Linked DNA regions of Arabidopsis thaliana. The protein of the gene in region 2 interacts with the protein of the main gene of each other region in a pairwise test. Each region holds a gene or a part of one and is shown on either strand. Other genes may lie near its edges.

Evidence for each region. Proteins that work in one complex are often made in the same cells at the same time.
Region 1: the proteins of AT2G27930 (region 2) and HSFC1 interact in a two-hybrid assay, tested with the Arabidopsis thaliana proteins (one large-scale study listed by BioGRID).

Annotation. Positions count from the first base shown.
Region 1 is NC_003074.8:8,937,992-8,946,035, forward strand, and holds HSFC1 (heat shock transcription factor C1), read left to right. Parts: upstream 1-3,074; 5' UTR 3,075-3,463; coding exon 3,464-3,691; intron 3,692-3,720; exon of another isoform or gene 3,721-3,775; coding exon 3,776-4,540; 3' UTR 4,541-4,883; downstream 4,884-8,044. Other genes in the region: AT3G24514 (uncharacterized protein), read left to right, coding at 933-958; AT3G24517 (uncharacterized protein), read right to left, coding at 115-516, 561-650; AT3G24530 (AAA-type ATPase family protein / ankyrin repeat family protein), read right to left, coding at 7,687-8,044. UniProt on the Arabidopsis thaliana protein: Transcriptional regulator that specifically binds DNA sequence 5'-AGAAnnTTCT-3' known as heat shock promoter elements (HSE).
Region 2 is NC_003071.7:11,888,255-11,896,290, forward strand, and holds AT2G27930 (PLATZ transcription factor family protein), read left to right. Parts: upstream 1-3,842; 5' UTR 3,843-3,988; exon of another isoform or gene 3,989-4,103; 5' UTR 4,104-4,114; coding exon of another isoform or gene 4,115-4,196; coding exon 4,197-4,622; coding exon of another isoform or gene 4,623-4,715; exon of another isoform or gene 4,716-5,081; coding exon 5,082-5,234; 3' UTR 5,235-5,474; downstream 5,475-8,036. Other genes in the region: SCPL51 (serine carboxypeptidase-like 51), read right to left, coding at 1-6, 235-342, 445-539, 660-789.

The DNA.
Region 1 (8,044 bases), on a different chromosome or scaffold from region 2:
TTCGTTACTGGCTTTATTTGTTTGAAGAATAATGGTATCATGTTCCCAACTCCAACAAGTCGATGGTGTGATCTTTGTCACCCAAGCGCCACCATATGTATATCTCCGACACATTTAGGTATCTCCTTCAAGCAATCCTGCATCAGCAGTAGAGTTAAGGCTCATATCTCTCGGATCTCCAAAGAAGTTCCCAACCTTTTTGAGATAATTACTGAACCTTCGCCTCACGCCCTTGTAGTTAAAGGATTGAAGAAAATCGGCATTATGATCACGTCTCCAAGGAGCGGTGATTACCAACGCTTCTTCAACCTTTCCCACTCCTATCCTCTGATTACTGAATTCAAGCAAAAGCGATTCAACATTATTAAGTTTAGTATTCATGATCTTCAAAGCTTGGGAAAGAACGGCATTATGATCTCGTCTCCATGGAGTGATGATTACCGAAGCTTCTTCAACCTTCTTGACCTTACACCCATCGTTACCCACCTCCTCGGCGATGAACAACTCCAGTTTCTCCTTCTCGTGTCGGCGAGAACATCGGCCTTGGAACCTTATTCAACGTCATCTCGTCTCTTGACAGTGACCAATTTGTTGTCCATTGATTCGTTCGTGGAAGATCCTTCGACTACCCGTGACCTCACATGTGCCATCATGCCTTATAGTTTGTGGCTCAAAGCTCTCATGAATTTTATGTCGTTTCACATTATCTATCATATCTTGGTTTTGGGGAATGCCTCTTTTAATTATGTTTTAAACTTTGTGATCTTTGAATCACTCCTTCTTATATTTGTTTTGATTTGAATAAATGAAAACAAATCTTTGCAAAAAAAAAAAAAAAAGATTATATCGACAATGATATTGTTTAAATATATCAGTCTACATTTATCATCTTCTCTGTTAGACTCGTCGTTAAATTTCTATTTTTTTAATAGTTTACACAGATGTTTTCATATTCTAACTATTTCTTTATATAATAAATTTGTATATCTAGTAGACGGATCTTCAAAAAAAAAAACAAGTTCTCCCCACATATTAATATCAAAAAAATTCTTAAATACCTTATCAGCATTTTAGATTTAATTATGAGCAAAATAAATGTTTAGAGATATGAAACTTAAATAATTGTATCTTATTCTCAACAATTAACGAATAACCAATTTGGAGACAAATCTATAAACTAATAAATCTTGCTTCTCTATAGGGTGCGCTTTTGTCCCTGTTACGTATGAAGTGACGTATAATCGTCTACTAAACTATTTTATCCGTACGACATCAGTTTCCTATAATATTTGTGTGACACTATAATAAAAATGAAAAATCATGTTCGTCGTATACCTGAATTAAGCAACGTATAATGAATAAACTTTCCATAAATACAAAAATACTCGATTAGTGGAGTGTGCATCGCCAACAAAAAAGATTCTACGCAACGTGTCGAATCAGTACTTGTTCCTGAGTTCCTCCGTCACTAACCAGTGCGGACCATGTCAGTATCCAAGCACCCACACGCTCGTCGTCTCTTGAAAACATCTCACACAAATACACAACGGCTCGGACTAATAACTTGCCATCTAAGAAAAGCTAATTGACCTAAGGCTTTGTGGCACCTGCATGTAAAAAGCAAACACGAATTTGCCACGTTATTACAAAGCATACCACGTCACCGTCTCACTGTTACACTATCTCTTGTTCTCCTTTATTTCGCTATGGACAACAAAAATTATAAGGTGGGGAAGAGATGTCTCAAAATACTTTTTTATCGTCCTCTCAATTTATGTAACTGATAATAATCGAAATAGATAAATTTAATTGTAGGTTGACAAAGCGCTAATTTTAATAAAAACATATATTAGTTTGGAAAATTTTGTCGTAGTAAGTAATTAAACCTATCAATCTTGACTAATAATTTCAAGTATCCCATAAAAATCAAAATTGTCCTTAGGTTTTGAAATTGTACTACTGATAGTACGTAATTAAACAAACAAAAGCTATAGCTTGTGGATTATAGCTAATCCCATTTGGCGATGAGAGTAATATATATATTGTTCAAATAAAGTTGTAATTAAGATTCGATTGAAAAGGTAAATTATAGTTTAAGAAAAACAAAGAGAGGAGACAACAATTAAAAAAATGAAAAGTGGAGAACTGTACTCTCGCCTATACGAGGAGGTCATTATCTCCAAGGCTCTCAAGGATTAAGGACCATGCTTTGATTCTATAAATGTTGTTTTATTCAAACTATTTATATTATTATATCATACGTAATATGTGGTTAGCATTTGACCCACGTCCCCTTAATTAAGTCTAGATTAATCCCATTAATCTATCCAATTAATAATTAGGAAAATTTTATATAAGATTGCTATTGGATTTCTCGGTGGTGGTTTAAACTATAAAATAGTAATGCCTTTGATGCGTGTGATTTTTTATTGGAACTTATTGGTTTTAATTCTTAACCTAGCAATTATATTTGTAGTAGTTTATGTTAATCATTGTTTAATAATACTCCTATAATAACTCTTGCAAGTAGCAACACTTGTGTGGCTATTTATTCCAGAGTCCATGGATATGTATGTATAAGAAAATAGGAGTGCTTTTGCAGATTGAAGAGTTTGTCTATAAAATCATGTTTACTTGGCATTTAGTGTTATTGTTTGCAATTTTTTATTTTAAATTAGTCGGATATTTTAAGTTAAAATCTGAATACACAGCATGTTCCTTCTAACGTTTTTTAACATAATTGTAAACTAAAGAAAAATTATAATATAATAAATTAAATTATACCCTCTCTATTCATTGTAGAAGATTTGTTTGTTTCACCAAATGTGTTTTTTTTTTATAAGTTGCTCTCACTCTTGAGAGTTTTGGAGTATTTTGAAGAGGACGAGGTTCTTTTGTGAAAAAGTGAAAGAAACAAATCATGTCAAGAATTAGAAAGAAATCATGACAAATAATTTTGTTTGTGCAGAAATTACAAATGAATCATAGATATCCTTCTAATTCGGGATCGGAAACCAGTTGAAAAATCGATGGACTAAGCTTTCTATATTGGGACTAGCTTACCCTTAGAATTAGTCAAGCAGCTTAAATCATCTATGACTTAAAATTATAATTAAGAAAAAACAATGCCTAAATATGCATATATTTCAAATGTATCACATAACTTGTGACATAAGAAAATATAAACAAAACAAAAAGGGCAAAAAAGACCTGAAAGCTTAGAGGCACACCTGCATAGGTCCCACAGTTCACTCGTGACACCGTAAAAGGCAAAACACGAACCCGCCACGTTATCACAAAAAGCAAGCCACGTCAATATAGTCTCACTGTCAACTACACTTAACTTACTATTTTCACATCTCATTTTCCTATCTTTATATAAACCCTCCAGGCTCCTCTTTAATTTCTTTACCACCACCAACAACAAACATATAAACCATAAGGAAAACAGAGAAAGAGAGAGATGGAGGACGACAATAGTAACAACAACAACAACAACAACGTGATCGCACCTTTCATCGTGAAAACATATCAGATGGTCAATGATCCTTCCACCGATTGGCTCATCACTTGGGGACCTGCTCACAACAGTTTCATAGTCGTTGATCCACTCGACTTCTCGCAACGAATCTTACCTGCTTATTTCAAACACAACAATTTCAGCAGTTTTGTTCGTCAACTCAACACCTATGTAAGTTAATTCATAACCGAAACTCATACATGAAACTGGAAACAGGGGATTACGAACTAATGATCCTTTCTTTATTTACTTTAGGGGTTTAGGAAAGTGGATCCGGACCGGTGGGAGTTTGCGAACGAGCATTTTCTAAGGGGACAGAAGCATTTGTTGAATAACATAGCGCGTAGGAAACACGCGCGGGGGATGTACGGTCAAGATTTGGAGGACGGTGAGATTGTGAGGGAGATCGAACGGTTAAAAGAAGAGCAGAGGGAGCTAGAGGCAGAGATTCAGAGGATGAACCGGAGGATCGAAGCGACGGAGAAGAGACCGGAGCAGATGATGGCGTTTCTTTACAAAGTCGTTGAAGATCCTGATCTTCTTCCAAGAATGATGCTCGAGAAAGAACGGACAAAGCAACAACAACAAGTTTCCGACAAGAAGAAGCGTCGTGTCACGATGTCGACGGTGAAGTCAGAGGAAGAAGAAGTGGAAGAAGATGAAGGGAGGGTCTTTAGGGTTATGTCATCATCAACACCGTCGCCGTCATCAACGGAGAATCTTTACCGGAATCATTCACCGGATGGGTGGATTGTTCCTATGACGCAAGGACAGTTTGGTAGTTACGAGACGGGTTTGGTGGCGAAGTCGATGCTCTCGAATTCAACGTCGTCGACGTCATCATCTTTGACGTCGACGTTTTCTTTGCCGGAGAGTGTTAACGGAGGAGGAGGAGGAGGATGTGGGAGTATTCAGGGAGAAAGAAGGTATAAAGAAACGGCGACGTTTGGAGGAGTGGTAGAGTCAAATCCACCAACAACACCGCCTTATCCATTTTCTCTGTTTCGAGGTGGCTTTTAGCGTTTAGCTTCACATGATATATGATCTTTAGACTTTATTATTGTTATATTATTATTATTATTTATTTTTTGTGTGTTTGTTCTTAATTATTTTATGTATAACCAAAAGAAAGAAAGAAAATAAGGACAGATCCATAGTTGAGTCAGTAGTCATCGTTTGTAGAAAGTTTTGACAGTATATAATTTCTGATTATATTTGTTAAAAGTTCATATGTTGACTTTGTTTTCCTTTTAAAAGTACTTTCAGGTGACTTGTGTAATATATTCACACTTGTAATAACAACAATTTTGATCTTCTTCACTACTTCAGTGTTTTGATTTTTGAATAAAGTATTATTGTAGCCTTATATCTTTGTAATAACAACAAAATATAGGCTTTACTTTTTCCACTTTAAGCTAGTAATTAAGTCTATATACCATTTCAAATTTATCGTTAATGGCCATCTTTAAACTAAACCATATCGAGTATTTGACTCTTTCTCTTGAAACACTTGTTCTCAAACACATTAACGAATCAGTTGACATGGTATATAGACTTACTAGCTTATATAACCCACATGCTTAAAGCTGATCATAAAGTAGAAGAAACATTGCCTATATATAACCCACGTGGTTAAGGCGACACAAGTCGGTCGACTGATAACAAGTCAACGAGACATCCATTCAAGATTCAAACGTATCATCAACACGACGCTCCACTTTCACTTTCATCTAAAATTGATAACATGACATTGTTAAATTTTGAGACGTGACAGTTAGCCACGGGACTTTGGTCGGCCAACAACGTTTCGAACACTCATTGGGCTAGAGAGAGAGAGAGTATAAAACAACGATAAATCTAAATTGGACCACCTGATGTCTCTCACACGAGGACGCGTGGTTATACCAGATAATCGCAAAATCTCTTGTAAGATGTTCGGGTCCATACTTTGATTGTCGGCTCTACGATACGCTCATACGCATACATCATATAAAGTTACTATCACAATTTTGTTTTGTTGTTTATGATTGATTTTTTAACACTTCGATAATACTTATGTTTTCTTTTGTTAAAATACTTAAATAATATTATTAAAGTTGTAAAGATTCGTAACTTTATAAAGTTTTATGATCTTTTACTCAATTTTATAAATTAAGTATTCACTTATTACTTTTTTTTTTTTGTTAAAAGACTTGTTTACTTATTTGTGATGTAGTTAAGAATTATCTTTTATATTAATTTATGAATAATATTTTATATGTCTTTAAAAAAAAAATAGCGAAAAATTTCTCCAACTTAATAGGAGAACAAAGTTGAATAATTTTCTTCTTAATAGGATATTGAATGGTCTAGTATCCATTAAAAACTAAGTCGGCCTAAAATATTTTCATTTTATACTATTAATTAGCTAACAACATATACTATTGTTTATCAAAGAAACAAAACATACTATTGGTTGTGGATTAGCTAACCTTATTTAGTAATAAGAGAATAGTTTTTCTTGTCCAAATCAATTGCGTAAGACTCGACATAAATGGAAATATATACTTAAAAAAGGAAAAGAGAGAATAGTTGTAAGTTGACAAAGGGCGAACCATCTCTTGCCGGTTGGAGGAAGTCATTGTCACTTAGGATCTAGCGAATCAAGGACCATTCTTTGGTGCTATAAATTGTAGTTTTATTCAAGCCATGTAACTTTTTTGGATTTTTATAATGCACCTAACATGTGGTTAACATTTGACCCACGTCCTCTTAATTTAAATCTAGCTACATAATTATGCATTACTTAATTGGTAAATTTTGCATTAGGATATTGGTTTTCTTGGTGATGGCTTAAACAATAAATTAGTGTATGTTAGATTTTGATTGGATTAGAGGTTTCAATTCTTAACCAAGAATCTTTTCCCCTTAAAAAGTGCTTTCTTTTTATGAAAATTATTGTCTCTATAACCAAATACTTCTTGGCTTCTTGCGCACTTAGTGCCAAATCATTTGTTTATAGTAACGTCTTATCCAATCAATTTCAAAGGAAAGGGAAAAGATAGAAAGATAGGTTAATTGACTTGTTTCCAAGATATATATTAAGTTCATTTCCATATTCAAATAAATTCCCAAATTATTGTCTAAAAAGTTACTAAGTTTTTCAAATATTAGGTTTTGGATATTCGATTTTGATCACTTGTAAACTCTTTCTGATAATAAATTCTGGAAAAGGTCTCAATGAGTCCAGCTAGGTGATGAAGGAAAATTCAGAAGCACAATCATCTTAAGGGTTGTAGAACTATGGTGATGTTCCCAAGCATACATGGTCTAGTGGTAGAAGAAGTTTTGGTGTAAGGGAAAACTTTTAGATCCGAGTTCGATTTTTCTTGTAAACAAAAACACAAGTCTGTTAGTTGGGGTTTGACCTAATTGGTTTACATGGTAATCAGAAATGCATGCGGCTTCACTACCCTTTGACATTAGTCGGAAAGCATTCCAAACTCGGAATAGTGACAATTCGAGGAAAAGTCCACTCCAAAACATTTTGGTACGTTTCCATCCGGACTAACCGGATCAACCGATAGAGTTTATCAAACAAGAAAAAAAACAATGGTTTTGTTAAACAAGAAGAGAAGGAAGTAAAGTTAATCATTTGATCGTCAAAATATGGCGTAAAGGATTGTATGCATTTTGGTTAACTTAAGATTTGGGATCTTGAATTGATCACTTTCAAACTCTTTCTGATAATAGATATCGAGACTATCCAGAAAAGATTTAAGGCTTGATCAAGTGCCAAAAAGGTTTTCGGTATCCAATATGATGGACCAAAATCTTGTATTTGAATATCGAATGTGTAGAAGGTTGACAAGTTTGGTTCGAATTCGAAGTTCGAACCAAACGCAACACTTTTACATGAAAATCGTTGGCACCATAAATAACACTACTATGAATTAAAAGAAATAGAAAGACATTTTACAAAAAAATATGAGAAAAGTGAAAAGACAAAATATCAATATAGTTTTATACAACAGAAATAGATTTGATCAAACAATGGAAGTTGAAACCAAAGCCTCTCCTCCTACAAGATCTTGAGGGGGACAAAAACATAAAGAATATATGATGTAAAGAATTGAATCAATACAATTTGTAATACTAACCAATTATTAGCCATCAGAAGTTTCTTTTCACTGCGAGAAAACTCGAAGCCCGGCCTCTAGATCCTCCAACTTGATTGTACAAATCTCTTCAGTGTCAACACACTCAAAGCTAAGTCGGAGATCAAGATTCTCCCTCGCGTTAACAAGTAACGTGTCCACCAATCCTCCATTCATCTCTTTCCTCTGCTTTTCCGTTGTTTCTGCCTCTATCAGTGACGCTATCTCCTGCAAAGTGCAGGACTCATGCAATCTGAAACCATAGAACAGAGTGTCCTCTCCTTGGTTGTTCATCTTGATGTGTAGTATCTGCGCCAGTTCCTTGGCACTGAAGTCGCTGAAATTGAAAAACTTTGTGACCCTTCTGCAAAACCCTTCGTTTGATGCG
Region 2 (8,036 bases):
ACTATCCTTTATTTTCAAGAAAAATATATATATAATCGATTAAAAACTTAACATATGTGAGTAAGCTTAAAGACTGATCAAATTAGATACCACGTAAAAGTAATTAATTACACACTTTTGAAAACAAAATTTTGTTTTACTCTATATCAAAGAAGAATGATAGTATTATTGTTTTTTTTTTGTTAATAATAATATTGGTGGAAATAAAAGTAAACATGAAAACGAAAAAAATACCACAAACAAAAGATCGGCTTTCTTCAACCAAGTTGAGTTTCTGGGCTTGAGAAATGTGTCTAATGGTCCAACCTCCTGAAAATTCCCTATACCAACCCCTGAAGCTCCCTGTTTCATCAAAACCAAATAATTGAAAACATTAATGATCAATAAACAACAAATGTGTAAAAAGACGAATAAGATGTAAAATAAAAGAAGATAAAAACTTACAGGTCCACCTTGGAGCCAGAGGATGATAGGCCATGGCTTGGAAGGATTTTCAACTCTATATGGACTTTTATAATGCCACCAAAACATGTGTGCTTCTATTTTCACGATTTTGATTTAGAAAAAAGAGTCAAAACAAAACCCATTTAGTCATATCTAACATAAACCAATTGATTTCTTGAAAATTTTGGTAGAAGAAAGAGAGATAAAGAACGTACTTGGTCTAACTTCGACGTATCCCCAAGCTTCGGATCCATCGGAGTTAATTTTTCTTACATGTTTGGTTTCTCCATTGGTACATGAAACAATGAGACATAGAATCACCAGATAAACAACTGTTGTCTTCATTCAGACGATTCTTTGTGGATCAATTTTCCTATCTTGTGATTGTGGGAGAGGGAGAGAGAAAAGAAAATTTGAGAGGGATAAAGACACTATAGGAAGCAATATATTATGGAGTGTCAAGTCATTAAGTCAATGCTATTGGTTCAACCTTATTTGGTATATATATACTATATATTATATAATGAAAATTCACTAGTAAAGATAGAATGTCAGCTAAATTCTTACTGTAATTATTAACCAAAAAGTAAAAGAAATATTTTCTTCCATAAGAGAACATTAATATTTTTGTTTTGTTTTTCTGACAGCAATAGGTTGTGATATTTTTGGATAATTTTTTTTGTAGCACAAAATTTTGGTCATCCACATTCTGTTCTTGTTTCTTGGCTTCGTAGATTGATTGCTAGATCGTAGATAAACGTGTACGACGGAATAAAGTATTGTGGTCATGAAAAATATCGGTATGGTTATTTCCGATGAACCTCCACCACTCAAGGAAAAATGGATTCATTCGATTTGAGGGAAACAGAAGAACATCACGTAAATTATGTTATTTATTGTTTTTGAGCGAGTGTTGTTTTAGATTATTACTTTTCTTAAGACGAAACTAGGTTTGATTAGCCTTTTTTGTCTATGAAGTGTAGATTGCTACTTATAGTGTTCTGCCTAGTGTCTATACTGGATTTTGGATATCGGGCCTGAGTTTATGGGTGGATATTTACTTGTTGATCTTTTGCAAGACAGCAAGAGCAACGTAGTAGTAAAAACAATCTCCTTGGTTTGCTTCTTAGATGATGCGGCCGGCACGAATGCAACTATGACACCAAAAAAGTGGTTTCCACTCATTGATTACGAATAGATTCATGCGTAAGTCCGTTATCCTTTTTAATAAATACCGTAACTGAATTTATTCTCAAATAGTAAGAGATGATAAAGCAATTTGATATTTAGCTATTCGGGGAATTAACGTAAGGTCGATGCAACAACTACTCCACATGTTGGCTATCAGTATTGCGTCACTTTCTTGAGCTAAAAAACAGATAAGAGGAAAATAAAATTTCAAAAAAGTACATCTGAATATTCAGGCAATTTAATATCTTAACTCATACGTACATGGCCAAACTTAGCTTTCATGTCAGAAGTTTGATAAAAGTTTTCAATTCCAAGATAGTATATCTATTCACACAAAACATTCCGATTTTAAATTATGTTGTTACTAAATAATAATAATAATAACGACGCAACTATAATTAATTAGGCTAACTATAACCATATTTGTTTTATAAAAACAAATTAAAAAAAAAATTAAGTTAGCATACGAAAAAGGTGACAGGCCAAAACACATTCAAACCCATCTGAATTCACATTTTCTATATTTTTTATAACAAATAATTTTCTTGCATGTTTTATACACAAAGAAATTGACATCTTATGTTTCTTTTTGTATAAAATAGCATGTCAATTTCTACAAGGTAAAGGATTTTTCCAAGTAATTATCCATGGATTGAACCCTAGATTCGTATTTTCTAATTGTTATTCTTTATTTCGAGCACAAGACATCGCATAATTTTTTTTGTCAGTTAATTTTTTTTCGCATATATAGAACCAATCAATCTATACTCTATATGTGAATACCCGAACGCCTAACCTAATAAAAGCATACTAAACTGAAGGCAAAAAAGGTTCAAAACCAGGTCCATTAGAATGCCCAATAGAAAAAGTCACTTAGGGAAATATCAACTAACTCAAAAGGAATAAGAAGAAATGGGCTCCAAACTCAATCACTGACACACTGGTCCTGATCGGATGCTCTCCATCTCAAAACGGCACGCCCAACCACGTAGGCTAGCACCCTCCCTAAAGAGTAATTAGCGGGCATTTTCCCCCATCATATTTGAGGTCCACCGATTAGTGTGAACTTTAGTTTACGTGTTTGTAATATTTTTTTTTGTCTGTAATATTTTAATTTATTTTTATTTTGTTCCAAATGATCGATCTTCTCAACTAACAAATCATTCATGCAGTTTTACTTGATGAGGGATTTCATATACAATTTTACAATTGACACTACAAAGAGTCAAAGATTTACATTAGAAGGTTCTCTCTACACCATGCTAATGATAGACAAATTTACCCTTTGACAGACCAGACCACTCATCAGACGTGGCCGTCATCAGCCGAGTTAACTCCTTGTAATCTTTCTCAAAAGCAGTATCGGTTAAAGATAGTGAAATGAGGAATGTCATCACCTAGAAAAGAGATTCAAATTTTGCATGAGGGGATAAACAGTGTTTGAAACTCTTTAAACTAAGTTGAATAATGTGGTTGTTCGAGCCAACATTCCATCTAATGTAGTTTAATGTTGGCTCGAACAAAAAGATCAACCTTACAAACCAAAAGATTAATACCAAGTGGAAAATATTGATAATTTATGTATGTTTCTTTTGGACGTACACGTTTCAATAGTTTGAAGAATTTCTTAGGTAAACCATAAATTATATATGTATATATATATATATATATATATATATATTCTTCTTCATTTATTGATATAGATATGTCAAAATTAGAGTATTACCATTATAATTTTTTGGTTATAATTAAATTCCAAGTTGGAACAAATTTTGATCTCTTTAATTTGACATATGTTGATAATGTGTGTTTCTTTTGGATGTACACGTTTCAATAGTTCGAGAAATCTATTATTCAAATCATAAATGTTAATTAAATATATTTTAGAAACATTTTTTGAATTTAATTATTTTCATATATATATATATTAAATTTAAAGTATTATCATTTAATATTTTGGTTATTTTTGTAGTCAAAGTTGGAACAAATTTTGATCTATATACACATTTAATTAGCTTGTAATTTTGTCATCAAACTCATTTACTCAATGGCCTCATCCAACGGTTAGGAATCAACCTTAACCAAACATCATATCTAATTATATATCCTTTCCCTTTCCTCCCCCAATAAACTATTAACAATAAATATTTAATAATTAAGAGAAGAATTGAAAAGATATCTACCAATCCTAAATAAGAAGAAAAAAACATAAAATCTTCATTTATCAACAATAAAATAAAATTTATATCTTCCTTTCTCTCTTACCCTTAAAATCTGATTTTTCCTCCTCTTGTCTCAAAAATCAATCATCTAATACCCTTTCTCTCTCCCTCTACTGATCATCTTCATAAAGGTAATGCAAATGGCAAGAGCATGTTCTTCGTAATTTATTACATTGTTCATAAGGTTTTGTCTCGCTCTTCCCTTTTTGTATATATTGTAATTATTGTCTAAGAAAAACAAAACAGGAGAGAGATTAATGGAGGAGCCGAAATGGCTCGAAGGTCTCTTAAGAACAAACTTCTTCAGCATTTGCCCTCGACATCGCGAGACACCGCGAAATGAGTGCAACATGTTCTGTCTCTCCTGTCAAAACGCTGCGTTTTGCTTCTACTGCCGCTCCTCCTTTCACATTGATCATCCCGTCCTTCAGGTCCTTCATTTTCTCAACACACAATGCATACACATATATATATATATCACTTTTGACTCAATCCAATTCTTTATCATTAACATTGAGACAGATAAGAAGATCGTCGTATCATGATGTGGTGAGAGTATCGGAGATAGAGAATGCATTGGACATAAGAGGAGTGCAAACTTATGTCATCAATAGCGCGAGGGTTCTCTTCTTAAACGAGAGACCTCAGCCTAAGAACTCCTCCCATGGTGCCGCCTCCTCCACTCCGAAAACCATGTCCTACTTCTGTGAGACATGTTGCAGAACCCTTCTTGATCCCTTTCGCTTCTGTTCCTTGGGTTGCAAGGTTCGTTTTCCTACACCTTTTCTCAATGCAAAATTCCTTTTTGTAGCTGGATGGATAAATCATGAGCAAAAACCTGTAAACTTCATATCATAGAAAAACGAATGCATAGTTATAAGTCAATCTATCTAACGAGCACTTTACAACTGGACCAACAAAATTGGTTTATCATATTTTCATCATTATTACTAATATCTTCGCATTTATTTGTCCGATATAAAATGAGGAATCGGTTTAAGGATACACCGTATAATGTTTAGTTACTTGTATGGTAAATTCATTGAATCAACTATATTCAAACTCGCTTAATACATGTTGTTTGCCTCATATAATGTATCTTAAGAAAATATATACGAGGTTAGATGTTTGTATATATGTATATGGTACATTTTGCTCAAAAAAAAAGTATATGGTACATTTGCATAACGGAAATGTATGATGTGATCATAATAAAAATGTCAGGTTGAAGGAATGAGGAAGAATAAGGAAGAGGAAGAAGAAAGATTGCGTAAAGAAAGACAACAAGAAACGCACAAAGGCACGCATCCTCCAACTCATACCTCTAATTCTAGGCGACGAAAAGGCATTCCTCATAGAGCTCCTTTTGCCTCCTAATTTAATCAATCTTTTTCAAGAAATAAAATAAAACTTTTCTTTAACTTATTTTTATCTTTTTAAAATCATCAGTTAATGGTCCACCCAAACATAGCATAGTATATGCGTATTGGGTGGGTGTATTTATATATTCCCAATTTGTACAATGTCCAGCTCACTTCTCACAATCCTCTCACATGGAAAACCAACAATTTGTATAGAAGAAAATCCTAATTTCCCTATATTTTTTTTTTGTAAAACATTAAATACATTTCTAGCTAATTGTATAACATATATCTATACTGTAGGATTGTAGGATGGACTCTATTTGATATACTAATTAATTTTTGTGAAATATAAGTCTTACCTTTAAAACACATTATACAAAAATTAAGAGTTCAAAAAGACTCTTTGTGGAAGGAAGGAATAACATGAAAATTTAGGCATTAGTTAGACTATGAGAATGTCGGTGGAGATATACTGTATACTTTATTTCCGAGTAGATAATCTAATAACTAATCGATGTGGTGGTTTGAAGTTACCTGTCTCTATATCCATCTAGCTACTAAATATTTTAGTTTAGACTGAAATTGTGTGGGGTTTAGGGATCAATAATTGTGTATCTAAATGGTTTTTTTTTTCTTTTCTTTTTTTTTGGGAAAATATCTAAATGGTTAAGGGACATGAATGTGTATATGTTTTGTATAGACACATGAAATGTTCTTCGACATTAATTCTAAGCTGTTATATAATTAAAATAGTTTGTCGTAGGCGTTAGGTATTCGAAAGGTACAGTTACTTAAAAAAGAAAATGAAACTTTCACTTATTTACATAAATAATTTAAGTGGTAAAATTTTACGTAAAGGATGGTCTTATTTTAGTACGCATCGACCTTAATTTCCTTCACGTTCTACATAATATATTATGGCACTTTAAGAAAAAACTAGGTTATAACATTAATTATGAATTACGTGTTGTCGTTTCTCGAGAATAATTAGAGAATTGTGGAATTGTACAAAAGTAATAATTGATGCATAATGCATTGGTAGTATAATTCTCCAAGAGGAAGTCAAGCTCATGTTGCGGTTGTTGATCGCACTGCGAGAAGCATCGATCTCTTCAGCTTATAGTCAGATCGATTCTTGGATTCTTGATTCAGGAGCCTCTTTCCACACTAATGCTCCCTAGGACATAATGGAGAACTATGTTGCCCAAAATTATGAGAAGATATCTCTAGTAGATGGATTATCTTTGGACATTGTTGGTGTTGAAGACATTAACCTGAAGATGTCAGATGAGCTTGTATGGAAAATCACAAAGGTTAGACATGTCCGAAAGTGATGTGAAATCTATTTTTTGTTGGACAATTTGATGATACATGACACGATATCAATGTTGGTTGTGGAGCTTGAATAGTGACAAAGGGTTCCATGACAGGTACAAAAAGCTATAAAAGAGACACTATTTATATGACCACTAACTATGAAGATATATATAGTTGATGTTGCCGAAAATGCCTAAAACAAAACTGAGTTGTGGCATTATAGATTGAGGCATATGAGCGAGAAATGTATGAATTTCATGGTAACAAATGGTGAATCTCCAAATTTAAAGATATTAAATCACTACATGTATGAAAGTTGCATCCTTGGAAAGCGGAAACGGGTTAGGTTTTGAGTGATGGTAGGAAGTTGAAATCTAAGAAGTTGGAGCTAGTACAAAATAACTTGTTCGAACCTGCTTATGTTGCATCGCTAGGAGTATCACACTATTATGTGACTTTCATTGATGACTCCAGTATGAAGTTTACTTTATGAAGAACAAGTATGGTTGAGATAAATCTCAAATTGAGTGTCTAATATCTGATAATGGTAAAGAGTACATTTGCGGTGAGTTTATAAAATACTGCGCTGATAATAGGATTACAATGGAGAAAACTATTCCTGAAATGCATCATCAAAATGAAAAAGTGGAGATTGTGACTAGAATTTTGAACGAGCGTGCAAAAAACTTGTGACTCCAGTGTAGATTGCCTTTAGATATTTTGGACAAATGAAATCAATACCGCAACCTTCTTGAGGACCGTCTGTTATATTCCAATGGGATTCAAGATCCTTGAAGAAACTTGGATCCATTGAAATAGCCTTGTTTTTGTGGACTAAGATGAGAGAAAAATTGTCTTCTCTTAGCGTGTTATTCATGGTCATTAATTAATTTGTGAATTGAACTTAACTATTTGAATTTTTTATATTGATCTTGACCTTTGACTATTAATTTGATCCATTCATGAGCCAAACATATGTATTTTATGGGTCTCCGTGACATGGTGAGCTTCCAAAGAAATAAATTGGATTCATTGTGGATGGTACACTAACACTTGAGATTAATGAGAGAAATTTTTTTCAATAAAATTAAATATCTTAACAAATATGAGAGAAGAATATATATAATGAAATTAAATATATTAACAAATATGAGGAAAAATATATAATGAATTAAATATATTAACAAATATATTAAATATGTGTGTGTGTGTGAATAGTATAAATATTATTATGTAATGAGGAAAAATAAAATAACCAAGATGGGAAAATTTTTAATATGTTTCTTCTTCTTGTTTTTCATCTCCATCCAAAACATAGAATCCATTATAATACTTAGGACTTATTACATTGATATTTCGAATCATCTTGCAGGTAACAAAAAACTCATGATCATTTGTAGATCTGGAGATCAAGCGAGCCCACTTAAATTTCTTCCCTTCAATGTCATTTGGAGAATAAAATTTACAATTTACCCAAAAACTTTGATATGGTGCCACG